6 linked regions of the Macaca mulatta genome follow. The protein of the gene in region 1 interacts with the protein of each later gene in a pairwise test. Links are inferred from orthologs where the notes say so. Each region holds a gene or a part of one and is shown in the gene's direction. Other genes may lie near its edges.

Region 1 (3,144 bases):
CAGTCTGCTGGGCTCCTCTGGGAAGTTTACTCTTTCCCCACTGGCCAGTCTGCTGGGCTCCTCTGGGAAGTTTACTCTATTGCCTCCAAGGTGCCCAAAGACTCGGTTCTGATCACAAGACTAATCGCCACGTATTTTAATTTCTTTTTACCCCTCTGCCTCCCACACTCGAAAGAGCAGGGACCTTGGTCTTATGTTATTCACTTCTGCCTCCCAAGCCCCTGCCAACCTACAGGGCAAAGTCTGATGTTTTGAAATTATATGATCGAAGAAGGAAACTCTGGGATTGGAAAGCCAGTGTGTAAAGGAAAACTGGATCCCAGAGTGGATGGGAGAGAGTGAGGGGGGGCGCCTAAGTCCAACCCCCACCCCCACCTTTCCCCCGCCCCACCTGCTCCCTTGCAGACTCCCCCCCCCGCCCCCCCGCTTTCTCCCCCTCAACCCCCACGGGCCTCACCCCTGCTGACCTTGCCTCCTGCCCCCTTTTTCTCCCTCCTTCAGCTTAAGATCTCCTTCAGCGAGACAGCCCTGGAGACCACGTACCAATACCCCTCCGAGAGTTCGGTACTGGAGGAGCTGGGCCCGGAGCCTGAGGTCCCCAGTGCCCCCAACCCCCCAGCAGCCCAACCCGACGACGAAGAGGATGAGGAAGAGCTGCTGCTGCTGCAGCCAGAGCTCCAGGGCGGGCTGCGCACCAAGGCCCTGATTGTGGGTAAGCGGAGGCTCCGCCGGCTCGAGAGCGCCCCCTGCTGTCAGAGCTGGCGCTGCGGTCCAGGAGAGAAGAGGAGGGAGGATTGCATGTAGGCGCTTGGAAGGGGCTTGGTGGTCCTCTGGTCCAACCTGCTCCTTCAATAGATGGGCAAACTGAGGTCCCGGGCAGTGAAGTACACATTGAGTCTTCAAGTTTCAAAACGAGAACTCTTCCTGAGTACCGTAATCTGGTCAAAACCACAGGGTGGGTCGACAGGCCTGAGTTGGAATTGCAGCTTGTCTCTTAATTGTGTGATCTCAGGGAAACCATCCGATATCTGGCTTTAGTTTATTATTTATGAAATGAAGTTAATAATAACTACCTCCTGTGGCTCATGCCTGTAATCCCAGCACTTCGGGAAGCCAAGACGGGTGGATCGCTTGAGCCCAGGAGTTCAAGACCACCCTGGGCAACATGGCAAAATCCTGTCTCTACAAAAAAATACAAAAATTATCCCGGTGTGGGCCAGGCACGGTGGCTCACGCCTGTAATCCCAGCACTTTGAGAGGCCGAGGCGGGCGGATCATGAAGTCAGGAGACTGAGACCATCCTGGCTAACACGGTGAAACTCCATCTCTACTAAAAATAAAAAAAAATTAGCCGGGCGTGGTGGTGGGCACCTGTAGTCCCAGCTACTTGGGAGGCTGAGGCAGGAGAATGGTGTGAACCTGGGAGGCGGAGCTTGCAGTGAGCCGAGATCACCCCACTGCACTCCAGCCTGGACAACAGAGCGAGACTCCATCTCTAAAAAAAATAAATAAATAAAAATAAAAGAATTAGCCAGGCGTGGCAGTGCAAAGCTGTGGTTCCAGCTACTTGGGAGGCTGAGGTGGGAGGATCGTTTGACCTCAGAAGTTGGAGGCTGCAGTGAGCCGATATTGCACCACCCACTGCACTCCAGCCTGGGCAATAGAGGAAGACCCTGTCTCGAAAGAAACAAACAGGCCAGACACGGTGGCTCACGCCTGTAATTCCAGCACTTTGGGAGGCTGAGGCAGGTGGATCACTCAAGGTCAGAAGTTCAAGACCGGCCTGGCCAACATAGTGAAAACCCATCTCTACTAAAAATACAAAAATTAGCTAGGCATGGAGGTGGACACCTGCAATCCCTGCTACTCGGGAGTCTGAGGCAGGAGAATCACTTGAAGCTGGGAAGCAGAGGTTGCAGTGAGCGGAAATGATGCCACTGCACTCCAGCCTGGGCTACAGAGTGAAATTCCGTCTCAAAAAAACAGAAACCAAAAACTACCTCCTAGAGTTGTAGAAAAGATTAAGTAATTTATTTTATTTAATTAATTAATTTATTTATTTATTTTGAGATAGCGTCTCCCTCTGTCGCCCAGACTGGAGTGCAGTGGCACAATCTTGGCTCACTGCAACCTCTGCCTCCCAAGTTCAAGCGATTCTCATGCCTCAGTCTCTCAAGTAGCTGGGATTACAGATGTGTACCATCACACCTGGCTAGTTTTTATATTTTTAGTAGAGACAGGGTTCCCCCATGTTGGCCAGGCTGGTCTTGAACTCCTGACTTCAAGTGATCCTCCCGCCTCAGCCTCCTAAATTGCTCAGATTACAGGGGCTCCAGGCCAAGATTAAGTAGTTTTTGTGAAGCACCAAGAGCCACAGCTGGATATCAAATTACTTAATCTCTCCTGGAGTTATGGTGACATTAAACAGTTATGAGGATGCTTGGCACAAAATCCGAGCTAAATGAGTGATGGATGTGGTTACTGATGGTAACGTGCTTTAGATGTGGAAGATATTATAGGACTTCCTGCATGCCAACTGCCCTTCAATTTGTGTGTGGGGGAAGGGTGGGCAGAAGGCAGAGGCTCTCACTCATTCTCTGTCATTATTGCCCCCTCTCCCACAGATGAGTCCTGCCGGCGGTGACCATCTTCAACATAGGGATATACCTCCTTCCTTCTTATAACTGAAGATCCTGGATCCCGGAAGATTCAGGGCAGCAGACCCTGATAATGAGCCTGGCAGGGAAGGGCAACAACCAACATCTTGTAACTTGCTTTCCCCACCCTGTTTCTGGGGGCAGAGCCAATTGCCCAATTTCTACCCTAATCCAAAGTCCCTGGTGTGGGTGGGGTTAAACGTGCTGGTACATCCTGGGTGATCTAAGAGTGAGCGCCAAGTGCTGAGAAGGAGCACAGAACTCCCTGGAGGGTGGAGATGGAGCACCTGCCCTCCATGGCAGGGTACACTCTCCCCACAGCCTTCCTCCCCACCATCCCGTGGGGACTCTTGGGATTTAAGCACTCATGTCTCTCGAGGCCCAGAGCCCACTCCATTTATAGGCACATCTCCCTCATTTCCTAGGTCACTGCCCCTTTGTTTACAGCTCCTGCCTCCTCCTTGACCACAGCCTGGTTTACAAATTC
Region 2 (4,046 bases), on another chromosome or scaffold:
GAAAAAAAGACAGCGAGAGGAGGAAAACAGACTGGGGCTAAAGCCCTGGTCTTCCCTAACTGTGAGTTCACACGCCCCTTCCCAAGGGCCAAACCTAGGAGCGTGGGTTCAAGCCAGAGGGAATGTAAATGTCATGCACTGCGAAGAACCCAGGAAGAGCTAGAGGGATGAGAAAGTTGACTCATATGTTAAACAGGGTGACCTTTGCTGAGTTCTTAGTTTCTCTATGCTTTGGTCCCCTCATTTGTAAAGTAGGGATTATAATAGCATCGATTATTAATATGCTACTAGACAGTTCATGTAAAGTGCCCAGAAAAGGCCAGGCACCTACTAAATGCTCAATAAGTGTTCAATTCTATTCTTGAGTCCCCACCACATGCCAGGCCCTCTGCCAAAGCCCTTCTAGATTTTATCTCATTTTCTCTCTAGGAAAGAGGTAACACCAACCCCATTTTCCAGAGGAAGAAACCGAGGCCCAAGAGAAGTTGAGTCCATTGCCCCAAGTGCCGCCACTTGTCTGAGGCCAAGCCTTAGTTACCCCTTGGATCTACCCAGTCCTGCAGCCTGTGCTCAGTGAGCTGCTGCACCCAGCTGTTCAAGGCCAGGGCAGGGAGCCTAGAAGGTCACTTCCAGCCCTGGGAGGGAGGCTGGGCCAGTCCCAGTGGCTTCTGCAGTTGAGGATCTCTTCCTATGTCATGGAGCATTTGTTGAGCACCCACTATGTGCAGGTGTTGTGGCTACAACAGTAGACAAATAAACCCCAGGACGTGTGTGTGTGTGTGTGTACACATGTGTGCTTCACATACACAGAGCTAACTCAGCCCTGGTGAGGAGGATCACTCTACCCACCCACCCCCCATTTTACCAGTAGGGAAACTGAGGTTCTGAGAGAACAGACTTGCCCACAGATGTGCAGCTGGACTCTGCACCCAGGTCTATGTGACACACGCATATGGTTTGATCCAGCTCATAGCCATTCCCTCACTGCCCACCCTGCCTGGTTTACCCCATCCCTTCATGTCTCAGCCCCCGGCCATGGGCTCCAATGATGCCAGCCTCGCCTTAGGGATGCAGGGAGGAGAGAGACCTGGTCCCCAGGGTGGGCTGGGAGACCGGAGATGCAGCAGGCGGGATCGATCTGGGCTGCCCACGCATTATTGGATTGTTCCTGGCTCCTGGGCCCCCCTTCACTCTCAGCTCCTCCCAGAATCCTCTCTTCTTTGCCCTCCCCCGCCCTGTCCTTTTCTGAGTCCAGCCTGGGAGGCTGGAGAGGAGAGGAGGAAAGGGTGATCTCAGAGTGTCCTTCTCTGGGCTCCTAAGCCAATTGGACACAAAAAGACAGCCGGGGGGACTTCCTGGTCTGAAAGATGGGGGGAAGAAACTCAGAGACCCTTACGTTGTTGCCCCCTCCTGAAGCTTCCTGCTGTTCCCCGCTGGCCCTAACTCTAGGTGCTCTGAGTGAATTCCCTCCCCTCTGCAGAGCCCAGGAGGCTGAGGACCTGGGGTCACCCCTCTTCCTTCCTCATTCTTCTCACTGGTGAGCTGAACCCTCTTGTCTCCCCAGTGTACCTCTGGGAGCAGCCTGAGGAGACAAGGCTGGGGATGCCGGTCAGCTTGGAGGAGCAAATACTCAACTCCACATTCGAAGCTTGTGACCCTCAGAGGACAGGTGGTGGGGCAGGAGGGGTGCTAGGGACCAGCGCGGGCGGGAGAGGGGTGGAGGCTGGGAACTGGGGAGCCTCAGGGAGAAGACTGGGCTAGGGCCCCTCTTGGGGGTATTGCAGGAACAAAGTAGGTGATTTTGGGAAGCTTCAGGAAGAAGAAAGTGGATAACAGAGTGAAGGCCTTTTAGAATGAGGAAAACCTGGGGGACATTGATGGAAGAGGGTAGAGTTTTGGGGTCGTGGGATGGGGGAGGGAGGCAGCCACCATGGTGGAGTGGGGCATGGCTGGTGCTGTCCCCATGTCCATCCCCTTTGGTTCACCTTGTGATAGGGGGATGACTGGGCCCCATTTCCAGGTGAAAAAGTAGACTCAGAGGAGGGGAAAGGGCTTGCCCAGTGTGTCTCCACTGGGCTATGGAGCAGGAGTGCCACCAGCCTAGCCAGTGACATCCTGCTCCCAAGCTGCTGCCAGTCCATACCCACCACTCCCCACTTGCCCCAGACCCCCTCACTGCATGCTCTGTCCCAGGCACTGTGGCTGTGACCCAGGTGCTGGCCTACCTGGAGGCGGTGACAGGCCAGGGCCCCCAGGATGCACGCCTCCAAACATTGGCCAACAGCCTGGACCCCAATGGGGAGGGCCCTAACGCCACTGTGGACTTGGACACTTTCCTGGTTGTCATGCGTGATTGGATTGCTGCCTGTCAACTACACGGGTGAGTCCCCACACCTTCATTCTCCTCTGGGAAGTCCTTCCTAAGATCTAACCTCATACCTGCTTACTGGAGCCAGCATCCTTTAGGCCCAAGGACCTACTGTGTTTGGAACGAGGCTGTGGAGAGAAAAATGAAGAGATGGGATTCAGAGGGGGTAGATAGGGAGTCTGAGGACAAAATAATTTGGATGAGGAGGCAGAGGGGGTCTGGGAGACAAATAAAATGGGGCTGGAGAAGGGAGGGGCTTGGGGCTGGCAGAGGTCCCTCGCCATCCCTTCACCCAACCCACTCCTTGCCCCTCCTGCTTTTCCATCTGGCCGCAGGCACTTGCCATCTGGCCTCACCCTCCTACCCTGTGGTGCCAGCTTTCACCTGACCCGGTCCCCTCCTCCCACCTGCAATCCCCCTGCCTGTGGCTGGTGAGGACTGAGGGGCGGCTACAGTGGGGCTCTAAGCCTCATCCCTTTGATACAGGGGATTAGAGCTGGAAGAGGAGACCGCCTTCGAGGGAGCCCTGACCTCCCAGCAACTGCCATCTGGTGAGATTGCTATATATAGAATGAAGCAGGCAGGCCCTGGGTCAGACAGTGTGGGAACTTACCACTCAGGGCAGAGCAAGGGATAGGGTGGGAACCAGGGACCTTTACTGTAGCCTAGAGCTGTGAGTGTGACTTTCTAGGTCCTCCGTCCCTTCCTTCCCTGAGCTTTGGGGTTTTTTTCTTCAGAGGATGGTTTCCAACTCTTCCTCCTCACACCAGCCCTATCAGAGAGGCCTACAAGGCCCCACCTACCTCTGCTCCATCATCATTAACATCACCCCCTCCTCACTCTAGTCCAGGCATTCGCAGGCCCACTGGTCTTGCTGCCCTTCCTCGAATGTGCCCCACTTCTGCCCAGCACAGGCCCTTGCTCAGGCTGTTCCCCTCCATTCCTCACTCCCCAACCCCCTAGCCTTTTTTTTTTTTTTTTTTTTTTTGAGATAGAGTTTCGCTCTTGTTGCCCAGGCTGGAGTGCAATGACGCGATCTCAGCTCACCGCCACCTCCGCCTCCTGGGTTCAAGCGATTCTCCTGCCTCAGCCTTCCGAGTAGCTAGGATTACAGGCATGCGCCACCACGCCCAGCTAATTTTGTATTTTTCATAGAGACGAGGTTTCTCCATGTTGGTCAGGCTGGTCTCGAACTCCCAACCTCAGGTGATCCACCTGCCTCAGCCTCCCAAAGTGCTGGGATTACAGGCGTGAGCCACCGCTCCAGGCCGTTATCCTTCACACCTCTGGCAAAGGGGAAGCCCTGGTATGCCCCTGGCTAGAGTTCCCTGCTTCCCATGCTCACTCCTAGACTTGTAGGCCTTTCCATTGGAACATCTACCTGCAAAGGAAATCTGATTATCTAGTTAGCCACCGGTGCCTGGGTTTAGTTGGCTGGTTTGCTCACCATTATATCCCCAGGACCTCACACATAGGAGGTGCTTCATAAAAAAGTGGTCATGGACCGGGTGCGGTGGCTCACTCCTGTAATCCCAGCACTTTGGGAGGCCGAGGCGGGCAGATCACGAGGTCAGGAGATTGAGACCATCCTGGCTAACATGGTGAAACCCCGTCTCTACTAAAAATACAAAAAATTAGCCAGGTGAGGTGGCGGGGCCTGTAGTCCCAGCTTCTCAGG
Region 3 (4,036 bases), about 100 Mb from region 1:
TCCATCTTTGGCAACTGGGAGCTCTTTCAGGTGGTTCCTGTGTTTAAACATTCTCCCATCAAGACAGGATTCGTTTATTTTTATTTTTTATTTTTTTTCTTCTCATTCAATTGAGGCAGCGTCTCATTCTGTCGCCCAGGCTGGAGTGCAGTGGCGCGATCTCGGCTCACTGCATCCTTGGCCTCCCGGCCTCAAGTGATCCTCCCACCTTAGCCTCCCGCGTAGCTGGGCTCACAGCGCGTGCCACCACGCCCAGTTAATTTTTTTTTATTTTTTGTAGAGATAGGCTTTCACCATATTGCTCTGGCTGGTCTCAAATTTCTGGGCTCAAGAGATCCGCCCCCTTCGGCCTCCCAAAGTGTTAGGATTACGGGCATGAGCTACCGCGCCCGGCCCGATTTTTCCTTTCTTGAGTATCACTTCCTTACTTTTCAGCCTCAGCCTTGTTTTTCAAGGTGCTTTACCATCACCTGACACAATCCACACTTTATGTTTATCTCTCCCCGTTAAAGTGCCGGGACCTGGAGGGAGGGTCTTGGCAGTGTTTTTGAGCGCGGTGTTATCCTGGGAATACAAGGGGCCGCTCAGTTGATATCCAGGGAATGATGAGCCTGGCGGGTGTTGAGGCCGACTGGAGATGGGTTGGCCGGCCGGGTTCTGGGAAGGCTGTGCTCGGCCTCTGTGTGACCGCAGGCTCCTCGCCCGCCTCCTCGAGGGTCCCGCGGATGCAGGACCTGCTGCAGCCTCCGCAGCCACACCCACGCTCAGAGACCGCTTCCAGCGTCCTTGCCGCAGAAACGCACCGGACTGCAAATGTCACCGGCGCAGCGGGGATTCCCGGGGAAAGTCCATCGCACTCCCTGACCTGGGGACCAGAGGATGAGCGGAGGAAGTGTCTTGGGCGGCTAACATCCCACTCCCTGCGCCGGTCTGCGCCGCCCCCGGGAACGCCCCGGGGCTCGCGGGAGGGGCTGGAGCGAGTCCCCGGCTCCGGGCGGTCCCGAGCGCACGGACTCCGGGTGGGGCGGGAACCCGTGCTCTGTGAGCCGGCTGCTGCCGCGCCCCGGCGCTGTCATCCCGGGGCGGGGCCTGGTCCCCAGCTGTGGTAGCTTCCTAAGCGGCGGGGGCTGAGCCGGCGGCGCCCAGATGCGGCCGCGGCGGCGCGGAGCTCGGGCGGCTGTGGAGGAGCCCAGCCTCGGCCGCAGGAGGCGCCGGGAGCAGAGCCGCCGGGAGTCGCGCAACAGGTTTCCTTCCCCATCGCGGCGCCCACAGGGGACGCGCGCCCTGCGGGGAGAGAGGCTTCTCAGTTCGCGCTCTCGTTCCGGGTCCAGGTTTGTTTTTCTCTCCCTGAGCCCCCATTTCTCTTTCTGACCCCCCATTTCTCTTCCTGACCCCCCATTTCTCTTCCTGACTATTCCCCGTGCGCTGAGAGATCCGGGAGGCGGGCGGGGGCACTGTCTGGGCTCGGGACCCGCGGCTGCGCCTTAGTTGGGATTTTGGATCTGGCGCAGGTCCTCACGCCGCCTCTGGGCACCTTCGGAAACACAGGATTGGGTTCCTCATATAAAGCGGAATGATTTTTTAAAATTACTTTTAATTTCAGAGGCTGAGGGATTTAGGATTTAGTGCTTCACAGGAATTATTTTAGGGATACCTGTCGGTAGGCTGCCTTTTTAAAGTGTCCACCTAAGACTATTTTATTTTAAATCGAAAGACTGAAGTGTTTTTGTGTTATCACCTCTTCACTTCCTATTAGGGTGACTGTGTCAAAAACACCAGAATGGGTACTTCTTGACTTGAACTTGGCAGTGTCACTCAGTAGCCAAGAAAGACGGAGAAATTGATAGAGCCTTGGAGCAGTCCCTTCGCAGCCCACGTAAGACTTTGTTTTAGAAAAATGGAGAGAAGTAGTGGCAATGCCTGCGAGAACCACGCCGTCCTGAGAGGGAATTCTGCCTTTTTCTAGACTCCGCTGACACCAGCTGAGATCTGTATTACTTCCTGTGGTTCTCACGCGCTTGTTTCAGCCGTTTCTCAGCAAAGGGAGGAGCTGTTATTTACAGGTATCCAAAAATGAGTCACAGGGCTGCTCTCTTAATTGTGAGACTTTGTTAATGAACTTTTGAAAAGCGAGGCTTGCTCTGTCTGTATTTAAAATGAGACTGTAGATGTGAAATGCCTGCCCTGCTGACCTGGGGCAGTGGTATGGGAAGTGACGATTGAGTTTTCAGTTTCCTAAGGCGCCTGATGTTACAACATGCCAGTAAAGGTCACTGGGTTGATTTAAGATAACCACTAAAATCATGTGCTTTGCCTCAGAAGCCCAGGAGAAAATTAATTTCATTATTCAATGACCATTTTGCTACCATTTTCACTGAATAGTAGAAATGTATCATTTAATGTGGTGATTGTAACTCTCTAAAATCAAAATATTTCAGACAGTGTGTGTTTACTAAATTGATGCCAAAACCACATGGTGCTTTTTGAAGCGGGTGGGTCCCAGCGGGAGCAGAGAAATTTAAAAGTTGAAGCTGACAGGCCCCACTGTGGTGGGTAGCAGCACCTAGGAAGGGACTGCACACTATCTCAACACGGTAGAGAAGGGAGCACCATCTCTACTGGAGCTGAGTTGAGCTGAATTCAGTCCCAAACAACAGTTAACAGGTACTTTCTCTGTGCCAGCCTCTTCCCTGAACCTTGCTTGTACAACCATGAATAATAGGATCCTGCTGACAAGGTGCTAGGGTAAATCTATACCCAGAGTGAAGTTTCTGTCCCAATATAACTCAATCTGCTGGGTTCCAGTGTATTTAAAGAGTAAACTCAGCAGATTACCATCCCTAGATCATTGCAGTCACCTTTAGTTAGCAGCGTGACTTTTAGGAAATGGTATGACTAATTAATAGGTTGTTTTGTTTTGTTTTTTGAGACAGAGTCTTACTCTCTTGCCCCACACGGGAGTGTAGTGGTGCAATCTTGGCTCACTGCAACCTCCTCCTCCTGCGTTCAAGCAATTCTCGTGTTTCAGCCTTCCAAGTAGCTGGGACTACAGGCACCCACAACACCCAGCTGACTTTTGTATTTGTAGTAGGGACAAGTTTGGCCCTGTTGACCAGGCTGGTCTCGAACTACTGACCTCAGGTGATCTGCTTGCCTTGGCCTCCCAAAGTGCTGGTATTGCAGATGTGAGCCACCATGCCCTGCCTAATACTTTATAAATTTGTAACACTATATTGAAGCAAGTTTTTGATCATTGTTTTTGTAGTTCAAATCAATGTTTTTTAGCACATTATAGCCTTGTGAGCCAAAATGAATAAATCTACCATATCACAGTTTACTGTTACAATTGAAATCTGCTGAGACACTTTTGAACTTGATGCCCAAGTATCAAGGTTTCCAAGTTTCCACAGTTTGCTAAGATATCCAACTAATAAAGGCAACACTGCTAAATTTCAGACAACTTTACCTTAATTTCCAAACTTTATTCCTCCTTTGAAAGCCCTGAAGTTACTTTTTCTATGACAAAGGGTTGAGTGTGTCATTCAGCATTGTACTCCCTGAACTTGTCCCAGGCTCGACTCATGAGAAGTGTTGGAAAGTGTCATTCAGCATTGTACTCCCTGAACTTGTCCCAGGCTCGACTCATGAGAAGTGTTGGAAAGTGTTTATTGATGAAATAATGAACCTTCATGTAGGAGGATGAATTGGCAGGCAAGTGGAAGGCTCAGTGACCCAGCAGAAGGAACAGCACCCATAGAGAAGTGAAACAGCACTGGACATTCAGGAAACTCCAGCCTGTTTAGTGACAGCACAGAGCGAGGGCTGGGGAGACAGGAAGGGCCAGATCACAAAGGCCCCATGAGGGTTTATAGTACTGAGCCCTTTGAACAAGTGAATGATATTGTCAGGTGTGTGTTTAAAAAATTATAACAAAAATTGGAATTTAAAAAATCTTAGATTAGATGACAGTGGCATTGACTTTAGGGAGACACCTTGGAAACTGTTGTCATATTGCAGATGGGACATTAAAGAAGGC
Region 4 (4,072 bases), on another chromosome or scaffold:
CGGCACCCTCCCCAGATGGCTGCCAGCCCTCGCACCGCCCCAGCTGACCCAGGGGGTTCCCTGGAACAGGTGACCTGGCTACCCAGACACGATGGCAGCCCCCACAACTTTCACTGTCCTTTTGCGTGGGCCTTTCTTGGCATAAGACCAGCCCCCATCTTCTCCGTCTGTCCCCTCACTCCCTTTCCTTCGTCTCTGTGGCAGCAGCGCCCCCAGGCCCTTTGCTCTCTGGGTTTCACTCCCTCACTGGAAGCACCGTGGGGCCTCAGCCCTCGGCACCCGGCAGACAGGACGGTCCCATGGCCGGCCGCGCTCCTGAGCATGTGTTGCTGTGCCTGGTTCTCTAGCAACTGGTGCCTAGTCTCCTGGTGGCCACTCTGACCTGTGGGTTATTTAGTGGTATATTATTTAATTTCCAAATATTTAGGGATTTTCCAGATACCTGTTACTGATTTTTAGCTTCCGACATGGTTAGAGAACATGGTATGTGTGTTAATTCCTAAGGACGGACACCACAGGGAAATCACTGGGGTCCCTCGTTTTACAAGCTGGGGAATCACTGGGTCATGAGGGCCTGGTGCCAGCTCGGGCCCACTCCCCAGCAGGGCCCAGGACGGCGTTCCTGCCTGCACACTCGCTCATGCTGCTGGTGAGGGGCCCAGCCTGGAGTGTGGCATTCCCAAGAGCCCCAGAGGACCCCTAACTCCACTCCTCACTGCGTGATGTCAGGCCTGAGGGCCGGGGGCTGGGAACGGTTAGGCGAGCTCCGCACCAGCTTCCTGGCCTTCCAGCCTGGCAGCCCCCTTCTCGAAGCTGTTGGGTGGCAACTCGGTTCGACCAGCTTTACCGGTGAGGCGGGGCCTGGGGGCTCCCCAGCCTGCAGGGATGAGGCTCCAGCAGCCCCACGCTGAAGTGCATAGTTCAGGGCAGACCCTGCTGCCCGTTGTCTGTGGATGGGGGGCGGGCTGTGCCCTGCCATCACCGGTGCTTCTGAAGCTGGTTTGGGGGACCCTGGGAGTGGCCTCAGTCCTCACGTGCATCCTGGAGAAGAGCAAGGATGCCTCGTGACAAGGATAATGATACCGAGCGACACTTCTGAAAGGGACGCTTCTCCCCCGTGTGCAGCTGGGTGGTGGCCGGTGCCATGGCCCCTGGCAGGCTGCAGTGGCCTCCTGGGCTCCATAAGGTGGGCTGCAGCCCTTTCATGACCAAGGCGTGTGCTGGGCATGCTGTGTGGCTGTGTGCCCCCTGCACATGCCCTGCCCCGCTGTCCTGAGATGCCGGCGAGGGCAAGGGTGTCCGCACAGGGCAGAGCATGCCCTCCTGAAGAAGCCTCCAGAAACCTATGACCAGGTCAAAGCGGCTGGGTGCGGTCTGGCCTCGTCCAGCCTCCTGGGGGTCTCTGCTGTCTCTTCTACTTGCCAGGTGCCCGGGCTGGGCCTCTGGGGCATTCTCAGGACCCCTGGCCCCCGGCCAGGCTGGGAGGGCTGAGAGCAGTTTTCCTGTGGAGGGCAGAGGACTTCCACTTCCGTCTGCCTCTCGGGGCCTCCTGGGCTGCACGAATCAGAAGGCAGGCCACCAGGGACTGTCCCCCTGTGGGAGGACTGGCGGGACTGTGGAGTTAAGCCATCAGGAAGTGCACAGGCGTCCGGCACGCTCCTCCCTCCCTGCAGCCCCAGGCAGCATCTCCCCGAGGCTCCGCGTCCCAGGCTCCTGGTGCGTCTGCCGTGCAGGTGGCTCCTTGGAAGACCCTCAGGTGGGTGGGTCTGGTACTTTTCTGAAAAGTGACCAAGAAGGTCGGCGCCGGCTTCGTTCAGAATCCTGGCGCTGATCCCCGCAGAGCAGCATGAGGCTTCCCACAGGCAGCCAGGCAGCCTCCGCCGCGCTGCCCCATCCCTTTCATGGCCACTGGGCGGAGACATGTTCATTTCAGTGGCATTACGGTGGCAGGTGGGACCCTGCATTTCAGGCTGGGGAGGCAGGAAAGGGGCCCAGTGTTCCCAGGACTGTCCGCTGTGTGGCCGGTGTTTCTATTCAGCCCCTTGTCTGTCAAAACTGTCCTGAATGGGGTGACAAAGTACAGTGGGAAGTTGAGAAATTCTTCAAAAGACCAAGACCAAACACTTCAAAAGACCAAGTGTCTCCAGGAGTAGTGACCCAGCTCCTTTAGGCAGGAAACCAGCATTTCCCAGTGGGGCTGGAGGCTGAGGACCGGGGACCTGCGTGGGAGGCAGGACCATGTGGCTGTTCCCAGCCTTGCCCCAGTCCCAGAGGGAGTGGCTTTCAGCGGCTGAGGCTTCCACCGTGCTGGCAGAAAGGGACAGCAGTGGCTGGGCTGGTCCCAACATGGGTAGTTCTCTTGTTTCAGCCAGTGGGATGGGGGTCGGGCCTCATCGGGGGCAGGAGAAGAGTCCAGAGATTGACGGGTGCCCGTCACCTAAGAACCTGGAGAAAACAGCACAGCAGCACTCCTGGCCAGCCAAGGGCAACACCGACAGCCCCTCCCAGCTTGCGGGGCCGGCGGGGAGTGACAGAGGCACGCTCCTGTGGGCAGCTCTTCCCGGCCAGTGCAGCGACCCTGGCAGCTGGGGCAGGGCTGGGTGGCCACTCTTGCATCATCAACAGCCGGCCATGGAGGAGGGAGGGCACAGCGCGGGATGTGAGCAGGCGTCGGTCAGGGAAATGGGGAAGTTCCGCCAGAACCGGCTCCCCCAGCTGCTGCCCTAGTGGGAGGGTCATTGGCCAACCTGCTCTCACCCAGCTTGGGCTGGCCGTAGTGCCAGGCAGGTGCCCACAGCTCCTCCACCCATGGAGGTGGCTGCCCCTGTAGGCTCCAGGGCGTGGTGGGAGTGTCCAGGAGGCGGAGGCCAGAGGCGAGTCATGCCGTGGAGGCAGTTCCTCTCTCAGACCCCATCTGTGTCTCCCCCGCTGCATATCTGGGTGACACGGATGGCCAAGGGGCAGGAGCAGGGGCTGGGAAAGGCTGTGGAGGGGCCCTCGGCTGGTCTGGCGGGGAGCGGGTCACTGTGTCTCTGCCGCCTCCCTGGGGGATCCAGCATGGGGATGGGACATGGAGCTGGGTACCTCTCCTGGATGCCCCTGGGCTGACCCCCTCGACAGCCCTGACGAGAGCCCTGGCCCAGCGTCTGAGAAGGAGCGGGAGCCGGGCCTGGGTGGGGGCAGGAGCCGGCGTCACTCTCAGCGGCTGCCCCACACCCCCCAGCCTGCCTGCGAGGCCATGTCGGACTACGAGAACGATGATGAGTGCTGGAGCGTCCTGGAGGGCTTCCGGGTGATGCTCACGTCGGTCATCGACCCCTCGCGCATCACGCCCTACCTGCGGCAGTGCAAGGTCCTGAACCCCGACGATGAGGAGCAGGTGCTCAGTGACCCCAACTTGGTCATCCGCAAACGGAAAGTGGGTCAGTGCTGCCCCGCAGGCCCCAGGTCCCAAACCCAACCAAGGAGCCCGCTTGGAGGTGGCTGCACGCTCTGCCACCCTGACCCTCGACCCCAGGAGAGCCCCGCCTGGCTTTGCCCCTGGCCTCCCAGTGAGGCCCAACCTCAACCCTGGCACATGGCCACCCTATCCCCCAGCCTCTCCTGCCAGCTCGGTGCTGCCAAGAGGGGCAGTGGGACTCCCACCACAGCGGGGGCTCCTGAGACAGCCAAGGGATGGGTGGACAGCACTTTGTCCCCAGCCTAGTACCAAGACCCACAGGGTGCCTCATCCACGACCCAAACCACAGCACACCTCATCTGCATCCCAGCCTCCACCTGTCCCTGCCCCCGGGCCCACCCACCCCAGCCCTCTGCCTCGCCTGTGCCCCGCCCCCAGTTAGGCCCCTCTGGCCCGCAGGCGTGCTCTTGGACATCCTGCAGCGGACCGGCCACAAGGGCTACGTGGCCTTCCTCGAGAGCCTGGAACTCTATTACCCACAGCTGTACAAGAAGGTCACGGGCAAGGAGCCGGCCCGTGTCTTCTCCATGATCATCGGTGAGTGACGGGGAAGGCGGTGGTGGGGGCGGGCAGTGGTGCTGGGTCCTCTGCCCAGCCCCCATCCCTAGGAGC
Region 5 (4,210 bases), on another chromosome or scaffold:
ATTTTAAATATATATATGTATACTCACGATTCATCTAAATCTTCTACAAATCCTTTACAGACGACCATATCAAGTAAAACAACTGGAAAAAAAAAAAAAGACAAAACGTACACAATAAATGCTGATTATTTGGCTCATACTGTATAAGCTTAGTCATCTTTGAGGTGTTTTTGACCTTTTACAACCTACCAAAAAATTCATCACTGATACATCCCAGGGTGCAAATGATGCAAAAGCAAAAGTAGTTCATCCATTTAATAAATAGTCTGTATGCAACCACATGGTGACCGGCCAAGTTCTAGGTAAGCCAATAAAGCTAATATACACAGTTCCTTTTTCCTCATTTTCACTCTCATCTTACTTCTCCTTTTTACCATTCCATCTTTTTGGAATATAGACAGCATTCTTCTATACTTCTTTTGCTTTAATAGCAATTATCTCTTCAGTAAAAACTCCAAATGTCATTCAAAATATTTACCCCCAAATAGAAAGAAAGTCGAGCTGTAACTCTAATACTTATTACACGGCCGTGTCTGACACAGAGTGGATTCTAAAAGGTTAAGTGAGCGGACCCCAGTGAGAATGAGGGCACTCCGTGCTGACGGGAGGCAGCTGAGAACCGCTGACACACACTCAGGTCCTTTTCACACCGCACAATCCCGGCGGCCTGACCCTGATCTGTCCTCGACCACCCTCTCTGAGCACTGGTGGTAAAAACCCTTAAACATAACAAGACTCGGAACCTAAAGTCAAGACAAGATCTGGTCGTTAAGGTGGGACGGCGGCATCCTTCTTGCCCATCAAAGGAGTAAGCTTTACTGAAACTTCCTGCCACAATGAGAAAAACACAAACACAAGGCAGCGCGCCCTTCCCACGTCCAGCACTGGTCCCGCACAGCAGCGGCGGAAGGACCCTCAGGTGTCCGCTCCTTCACGGCCAGGCAGGGCGGTGGGGCGGGGACGGCAGGACGCTGCCGGGGACCGGGTGGGCATCTCCGCGGGCCCCGCAGGCCTCGCCCCAGACCCGAGCCCAATCCCGGCCCCACGGCGGGGCCAGGTTCCGACCGCTGCGCGCCCATTACCTGTGGCGCAGAGCCGCAGAGCGGCCCAACTCCTCCACGCTGCCATGCCAGCCAGGGAGAGCTGCAGAAGCTGACTCTGTGCAAAAGAGGGATAAAGACACTGGGGTTCGCTGCCTGCCCGCCCGGAAAGGGAAGCAGACCCCACCCGGAGCGGAAGAGAAGCACCGCGCTCAATACGGGGGCGGGACTAGCCGGCCTCGTTAACCTCCCAGCACCCGGCTGGTCTCTAATTCTGGCTATGAGGGGGAGTACGGCGCCTGCGCGAGGAGGGTAGCGCCTGCGCAGTCGTGTTCTTAAGAATGCTTTGCGCCCCCGGCGCCCCGCCCAGCCCAGGAGCGTGGGAACCCTGCTTAAGGGCTTTACTAGGGACAACGGTGGTTGTTCACTGGGGCGAGTTTCTGGGAAGGTGAGTACCGGTGAAAGTTACGCTGAGGGTGAGGTAGGCTCCGACGACGCAGTTGCAGGTTGAATATTGGCACATCATTTACTTGCTACTCCCATGCAGTAAATGCACCTGTGGGTTTTGATGCTGGATCAAATTCCTGGAAAGAGGCGCGCATTAAGACTGTGGATTGCTGAGCTGCGCGACACTCCGTATTTTTCCAAAACGTACTTGTAATATTCTTTCAACCTGTTTGCATAATGGGACATCTCTTAAATGCAGCAAGCTTTAATGCATTTTTGCCAAAGTAAGGATTGCCTCTTTAAAAACTTTCTCTTGAAACTTGAGAACATGAAGTTAAGCGTAGGATATTTTTTGATGACTCTTTTCTGATTATTTTGGGACTAAATAAATAGTATGAAATATTTATATTGCTACCTGTTTTTTCTTCTACACGACAATGATTTGTAAAAACCATATACTTTCATGAGACGGTTACTGCAGCAGTCACTACTTCCGAATTAGATGAAATTTTTATGGGACATAAGGTACCAGAGAATTTAGATCAAACCAAATTTTGAAAACCTATGACAGCAGAAGGGGGATATGATGTCAGCCGGTTCACCTTAGGTTCAAAATTCCAACAGGCCGAAATGTTATAAAACGTTGTTATTCCTAGTGACTGGAAGATTAAATTGCACTGTAATTGAGAGCAAGCCCTAAATGTCACCCCCTTTGTGCATACAGCATGCACAAACGCGAGCCCTCTGCAGATTCAATTTTTCTTTTTGTTTCTCTTTTCTTTTCTTTCTTTTTTTTTTTTTTTTGAAAAAAGTAGACTAAAACGTAAGAGGACAGTTGAAGTGATGGTAATGTTCTCGCGGTGGTGGAACAGCTTTATAATAGTACCATCGCCTCGATACTCTTATACAGAAGCTTTTCTACTTTCTTGGCAAGGTCTCTGAATGACCCATATTCAATTTTTTTTTCATTCTAATGTATTTCAAATTTTTCTGTCTTCCACATCATGCAAAATAAAATAATATCTTTTTATATTTGCGTTACAGTTTAAGTTCACATGTGGAGAACAACGAAAACAGGTTGACCTAGATTTGTGCTCTTCAGTAGTGTAGCCACTAACCATATGTCGCTATTGAGCTTTCGAAATGTGCCTAGTGTGATGAAGTAACTGAATATTTAATTTTAATCTCAGTAAACTCAAAAACTGGCACTTGATTCAGCTATTGGAAAGTTTTTTTAATATGGTTGGAACAACTGAGGTATGTGAATCTACTTTTTCAACTGTAAACTTTATGAAATCTAAATACTGATCAAGTCCCAGGCGTCGGTGGCTCATGCCTGTTATCCCAGCACTTTGGGAGGCTGAGGCAGGAGGATTGCTTGAGGTGAGGAGACTGAGACCAGCCTGGTCAACACAGGGAGACCCCATCTGTACAAAAAATTAAAAAATTAGCCGGATGTGGCCTGGCGCGGTGGCTCACGGCTGTAATCCCAGCACTTTGGGAGGCTGAGGCGGATGGATCACTAGGTCAAGAGATTATGACCATCCTGGCTAACACAGTGAAACCCCATCTCTACTAAGAATACAGAGAATTAGCCAGGCGTGGTGGCAGGCGCCTGTGGTCCCAGCTACTTGGGAGGCTGAGACAGAAGAACGCATGAACCCAGGAGACCGAGCTTGCAGTGAGCCGAGATTGCACCTCTGCACTCCAGCCTGGGCGGCAGAGGGAGATTGTTTCCAAAAAAAAATATCAGCTGGATGTGGTGGCACACACCTGTGGTCCCAGCTACTCCAGAGGCTGAGGTGGGAGGATAAGTTGGGCCAGGGAAGTTGAGGTTGCAGTGAGCTGGGATCCTGCCACTGCCTTCCAGCCTGGCAACAGAGCAAGACCATGTCTCTATAAAATAAATATCAATTAAATATTTCTGATGAAATTAGAGAGGTTGTAACGAGATATACTATAAATGTAAAATATACACTGGATCACTGGATTGGGAAGACAATATAAAACTGTAAAATGTCTCAATATTTTTGTACTGATAATATGTTATAATGATTATAGCTTAGATATGAGTTAATTAAATTATTAAAATTAATCTCACATGTTTTTATTTTTAAGTGTAGCTACTAGAAAATTTATAATTACATATGTGGTTTTGCATTATATTTCCGTTGCACATCACTGATCTAGGCAACGTGAAAATGATCAAAATAATGCATTAATCTGAAAATGATTTAATAAACCAATAAACTTTTTAGGCTTTTTGTTCAGAGAACATGCTAAATTTCCACATGCTAAAACATATTCTGCGGTGAAAATTTTAAGTGTTTTTTTCTGCTTATCTACCTCAAGTGGTGATTTTTTTTTTGAGATTTAAAAGATTCTACTATTTTGACAATATTTTTAAAAAGACTTTCAGATAAGCTACACTTGTACAGGTATATATATATATACCTTGTGTATTTTGCATACATATTGCTGTAGTCTAAATGTGTAACCCAAATTTCATATGTTGAAACTTAATTGCCAATATGATAACATTAAGAGGTGGGGCCATTTGGGCATGATTTAATCATGAGGTGGGACCCTCATGAATGTGATTAGAGACCTTATAAAAGAGATTGAAGGGATTGTCTTAGACCCCTTTTCCCCTTCAACTTTAAGCCATGTGAAAACACAACAAGAAGGTACCATCCTGGAAGCAGAGAGCAAACCCTTATCAG
Region 6 (4,243 bases), on another chromosome or scaffold:
AGGCAGAAAATAAACTGAACAGTGTATAATCTAGGTGGACTCACTTGGTAGTAAATTATTTTACTCCCGCAAGAAGAGAAATAAAATCAAATAATATAGATTTTTTTCAACTAATACATTCTTAAATTCTTCTATTTCCATCCTTCTGCTTAAGGAGAAAGTGATCTACTTTCAGCTGTAGTTTTTTATCCAGGTAATAATATTATTATTATTTTTTTTTAAGTGAAAGCCTCGCTGCACAAAATTAAGACACACGCAAAAGTAAACTTAAGGCAAGTGATGCATTTCAGCCTTATTTCTTAGACTACTCAGAAAACTTTCAGAGTTAAAACATTCAGCTTCATTTTATATATCCTAGCAATACTAGCAATTGATCTAATTCTAGAATCAATTGCTTTTCTATTCTAAATATAAATATTAAAATTATATATTTGGACATGTTTTGAATTGAAGCTTCTTCCCCTCCCAACCCCTCATTTTTAAGTTCCAAATAAATACGTGAACTACACTAATGTGAACAGCTAGCTCAACAGTATGAACTACATTCATGCTATAGTACCCCAGAGTGAACTTAAATTTGGGAAAACTATAACTTTTCTGATAGTAACTACAGTAAAATACATCATATAAATGTTCGATTTTAAGGAGAAACCACCTATCTCTGTGAGAAACCGAGTGGGTAAAAAACAAGTCTGATTCAAAATGATACCATTTTTCACCTCATATCCTAAGGTGAAAATGATAAAGTTGAAGATCAAACGCTGACTGGCCTGAAACTCCCCTGTGGCTTCCTCATAAAGTGAAATCAACACATGAGAAGTGGGTGTGTAGATATTTACACATAAAACCCACAGTACAAAAATGACCCCACTAACGAGCTCCTTTTATAAAATCATTTTAATTTAGAAAGCTTATTCTATATTTAGCTTAGGCTGAATTCTTCTCTTCACCTCCCCTTCCTCAAAAGAATGCACAGAAAAAAACCATTCAGGTTAATAACAGCAGTGAGCCGAGACTCCAGCCTGACTCTCCTTAGTAAACTGTGAGTGTGGATTTAGAAGCCATATTTTCTCCTAAACCCTTCTATGAACTTGTACTTCCCCATCCCCTTAGGTTCAGTAGGTTTACCACTCAAATAATTACTCTCTCTCAAACTACCTCTTTCAAGCTTAAAAGGGCACTAATGCGGTTATTCCAAACTGATGAATAAAGTTCACTTTCTGCTGGCTTTCCATTTGACTAAGTATATATTACTTAAAACAAAACACTCTATCTCCTAAAAGCCATTTCTTCTATCCCATTCGCGACGTTCCCTCATACACAGACTTAGAATTGCTTACATTTAGTCCGTGTTATTCTTTCCTACATGGATGGGTTGTTTTCAGTTTTGCTTGCATATTTCTGGCATTTCCCGTTGCAACATCCTGCTCTGCCAGCATCTTCAGGGCAAAGGTTGGGGGCCTAGCCCAGCTCCCAGCTGCAAGTACACTAGGCTCTAACTTCGCTTGTCCTCTCTGCAGGCCCTCCCGGAGCTACCGCCGGTTTCCCGCAGCGGTCCCGCGCAGGTGAGGGCACCGGGGAGCCCACGGCCTTCTCCGCCCGCCGGCTCCTCCCCGTCAGCCGTCAGCCAGGGCTCTCGGCGCCGGGGGAGCCTCCCACAGGGTCCCAGGCCATGGAAGCGGGGACGAACGCCGGCGGCCCGGCCTCTCTTACCTGGCGCAGCCGCGCGTCCACCTCGACCCACCGCGCGCGCAAGGCCCGCTCCCGGAACTCGCACGGGCTCTCGCAGTCGGCCGCGCCGCCCTCAGCCGGGAAGAGCGCGTCGCGCACTGTGGCGCCGCCGCAGCCGTCGGCCGCCGCGCCCAGGTAGCGCTCCAGCTGCCCGCACAGCTCCTGCAGCGCCGCCTCGCCGGGGTCCGCGCGCGCCGGCCACAGCAAAGCCCACAGCCCGAGCCCCAGACCCCAGGCCCCGCCGCCGCCGCCCACATCCAACTCCGGCGGCAGCCGCGGGAAGCAGCGCTCCAGAGGCGGCCACAGCGCCGCCAGCTGCCGGTGCGCGCCGCGGAGCCCTGCGGCCGAGAGCAGGCCTGCCCAGCTGGGCGGGGACACGGCTGCCTCGGGCTTGGGCTCGGGCTCGGGCCCCAGCCGGGCCCCCTCGCGCCGCCGTCGCTGCTGCGCGGTGCGGTCGTGACAAGTCACAGCGAACTTGCCCTCCGCTTCGTTCCAAGCCACCAGGAAGCGCAGCCGGTGCCTCTCGGGCTCGGCGAAGAGGCCCTCCCGGACAGGCACCCAGCCCTCTAAGCTGTCGGGCTGCTCGTCTTCCATGGCAGTCGGCAGCAGCGGTCCTAGGGCTCGGCGGGCGAGGGCCTGGCCTGCTCGCACCGCCTGTCACGGGACAGTCCGAACCCGAGCATTTTTCACTGGAATCGAAACCGCGTCAGTGACCCAGCAGCGCCCTGGCCCCCGGCACCTCTAATTGGCTGACCCGGAGGTGGGGCTTACAAGAGGTGTTCGGGGTTGGTTGGGTGATAGACGACAGGGCCAGCGACAACCAATGAAAAGGTGAGACGGTGTCCCTCAGGAGTCAATCATCTCGCAACCCATTCAGGAGTCTGGGAAATACAGCTCTTGCCTCACCTTTTCCACCCAATACATAAGGACGTTGGAAAAATATCTGTTGAATCGGCGACTTGTTGTCTTAGTCTCCCACACTAAACTGTGAACTTCTTGAGAACAGGGACCAAGCTGATTTCCTTTTCTATCATCAGGGCCCTATTGAGTACATGGTTCCCGCCCTCAAGAATGTCACAAATGTGCTGGGGAGATGAAACATAAACTCGATAGTCATTTATTGAGGGCCTCTAAGTGCCAAGTACTGGGCAAGAAGCCACAAATTTATTTTTGTCAATTCAACAAACTTTTATTGAGTGTCGGCTGTGTGTCGGTATTGAGGGGGTGGAGTAAGAGGAGGAATTCAGGGCACTGCAGCTCCCAACCAGGGTGTTTAAATACAATCTGTGTTCTAACTCTTCACTTTAGAGTTAAGGAAACAGAGGCCCAGACAAACTTAAGATACACCGACACTCGGGCTCGACATGACCACCTGGCTACTGAAGGCCTGTTTAAGGAGATACCAGGAAATCCAGTTTACATGTCAGGGTGGAGCTAGATCTGTTCTTGCATCAAGGACCAAGACGGCCCTACTCTCTGCCTAGGAAATGTGCAGTGTAGACTGAGAAATACAGTCCATGTCCGCTCCCATCCTGGGAGTGCACTGAGACAGGTGGTGGTAATGGGGGGAGGAAAGGAGGCAGATGCCAGGAAGCTGGGATCAGGAGCCCTTTGCCAAAGCAAGGCCTGTGAGGTGTTGATTCGGGAACAAGTGAAAGCGTGTGTGAAGGTTTTGAGCTGGGAAAAACTGGAATCAGATTTTGTACTTGCTGTTGTCCCCAAGGGTAAACAATAAGCAAACAAAAAAATCAGGGCCAAGCTAAAGCTCTAGTTAGGACATCTCTCTGCCTTGAAAATGACCTCAAGAAATCTAGGAACCTCTGTGGAATGCAGCTTGAAGGTGGAAAGGTGCCTTTGTCTGAAGGTCCTTCCCCTTTTATGCCTGCTGCAAGTGTGAGGGTTGGGGATTGGGCCCTGGGACACAGTCACTCAGTCTTCTTGGAGAGATAACCTTTTAGCTGAAGTGATTGATTTTCCCCTACTTTTAATATACTGTTTTAACTAATATGATTTACTTATGATTTTTAACAGTCTGTTTTAAATATCTTTCTTGTATATTCCTCACATTGTATCTTTTTACTATCTGTTTTATACTGTGTTATCATTTCTATTAGTTTTCTAATCTATTTGGTTTTTCAAGAGGAAATTGTCAGTCTTTCTCATTATAAAGTGTCGTGGGTGGCTGGGTGCAGTGGCTCACACCTGTAATCCCAGCACTTTTAGAGGCCGAGGTGGGTGGATCACTTGAAGTCAGGAGTTTGAGACCAGCCTGGCCAACATGGCCAAACCCCGTCTCTACTTAAAATACAAAAAAAAAAAAAAAAAAATGTTAGCCAGGTATGGTGGTGCATGCACTATAATCCCAACTACTCAGGAGGCTGAGGCATGAGAATTGCTTGAATCCAGGAGGCAGAGGTTACAGTGAGCTGAGATTGCACCACAGCATTCCAGCCTGGGTGAAACAGTGAGACTCTGTCTCAAAAAAAAAAAGAAAGAAAGAAAGAAAGAAAGA

The links. The genes of interacting proteins can lie anywhere in the genome.
Region 2: the proteins of PPP1R18 (region 1) and KASH5 interact in binary tests that used the Homo sapiens proteins (3 or more experiments, as listed by UniProt). The two-hybrid records come from large-scale screens. The link is inferred for Macaca mulatta from reciprocal best matches to the Homo sapiens genes PPP1R18 and KASH5.
Region 3: the proteins of PPP1R18 (region 1) and STX11 interact in binary tests that used the Homo sapiens proteins (3 or more experiments, as listed by UniProt). The two-hybrid records come from large-scale screens. The link is inferred for Macaca mulatta from reciprocal best matches to the Homo sapiens genes PPP1R18 and STX11.
Region 4: the proteins of PPP1R18 (region 1) and CARD9 interact in binary tests that used the Homo sapiens proteins (3 or more experiments, as listed by UniProt). The two-hybrid records come from large-scale screens. The link is inferred for Macaca mulatta from reciprocal best matches to the Homo sapiens genes PPP1R18 and CARD9.
Region 5: the proteins of PPP1R18 (region 1) and CCDC102B interact in binary tests that used the Homo sapiens proteins (3 or more experiments, as listed by UniProt). The two-hybrid records come from large-scale screens. The link is inferred for Macaca mulatta from reciprocal best matches to the Homo sapiens genes PPP1R18 and CCDC102B.
Region 6: the proteins of PPP1R18 (region 1) and FSD2 interact in binary tests that used the Homo sapiens proteins (3 or more experiments, as listed by UniProt). The two-hybrid records come from large-scale screens. The link is inferred for Macaca mulatta from reciprocal best matches to the Homo sapiens genes PPP1R18 and FSD2.

What each region holds. Positions count from the first base shown.
Region 1 is NC_133409.1:152,366,911-152,370,054, forward strand, and holds the end of PPP1R18 (phostensin), read left to right. Parts: intron 1-501; coding exon 502-712; intron 713-2,624; coding exon 2,625-2,644; downstream 2,645-3,144.
Region 2 is NC_133424.1:61,819,352-61,823,397, forward strand, and holds the start of KASH5 (protein KASH5), read left to right. Parts: upstream 1-1,246; 5' UTR 1,247-1,367; coding exon 1,368-1,449; intron 1,450-1,564; coding exon 1,565-1,669; intron 1,670-2,193; coding exon 2,194-2,380; intron 2,381-2,854; coding exon 2,855-2,919; intron 2,920-4,046. UniProt on the Homo sapiens protein: As a component of the LINC (LInker of Nucleoskeleton and Cytoskeleton) complex, involved in the connection between the nuclear lamina and the cytoskeleton.
Region 3 is NC_133409.1:49,411,134-49,415,169, forward strand, and holds the start of STX11 (syntaxin-11), read left to right. Parts: upstream 1-1,236; 5' UTR 1,237-1,331; intron 1,332-1,756; exon of another isoform or gene 1,757-2,063; intron 2,064-4,036. UniProt on the Homo sapiens protein: SNARE that acts to regulate protein transport between late endosomes and the trans-Golgi network.
Region 4 is NC_133420.1:6,136,435-6,140,506, forward strand, and holds the start of CARD9 (caspase recruitment domain-containing protein 9), read left to right. Parts: upstream 1-1,272; 5' UTR 1,273-1,345; coding exon 1,346-1,756; intron 1,757-2,268; exon of another isoform or gene 2,269-2,350; intron 2,351-2,922; exon of another isoform or gene 2,923-3,070; coding exon of another isoform or gene 3,071-3,223; coding exon 3,224-3,422; intron 3,423-3,859; coding exon 3,860-3,997; intron 3,998-4,072. UniProt on the Homo sapiens protein: Adapter protein that plays a key role in innate immune response against fungi by forming signaling complexes downstream of C-type lectin receptors.
Region 5 is NC_133423.1:11,949,062-11,953,271, reverse strand, and holds the start of CCDC102B (coiled-coil domain-containing protein 102B), read left to right. Parts: upstream 1-1,410; 5' UTR 1,411-1,488; intron 1,489-4,210. UniProt on the Homo sapiens protein: During interphase, forms fibers at the proximal ends of centrioles to maintain centrosome cohesion. During mitosis, dissociates from the centrosome following phosphorylation to allow centrosome separation. Contributes to CROCC/rootletin filament formation.
Region 6 is NC_133412.1:73,933,326-73,937,568, forward strand, and holds the start of FSD2 (fibronectin type III and SPRY domain-containing protein 2), read left to right. Parts: upstream 1-1,443; 5' UTR 1,444-1,713; coding exon of another isoform or gene 1,714-2,325; 5' UTR 2,326-2,562; intron 2,563-2,894; exon of another isoform or gene 2,895-4,203; intron 4,204-4,243. Other genes in the region: WHAMM (WASP homolog-associated protein with actin, membranes and microtubules), read right to left, coding at 1,714-2,325.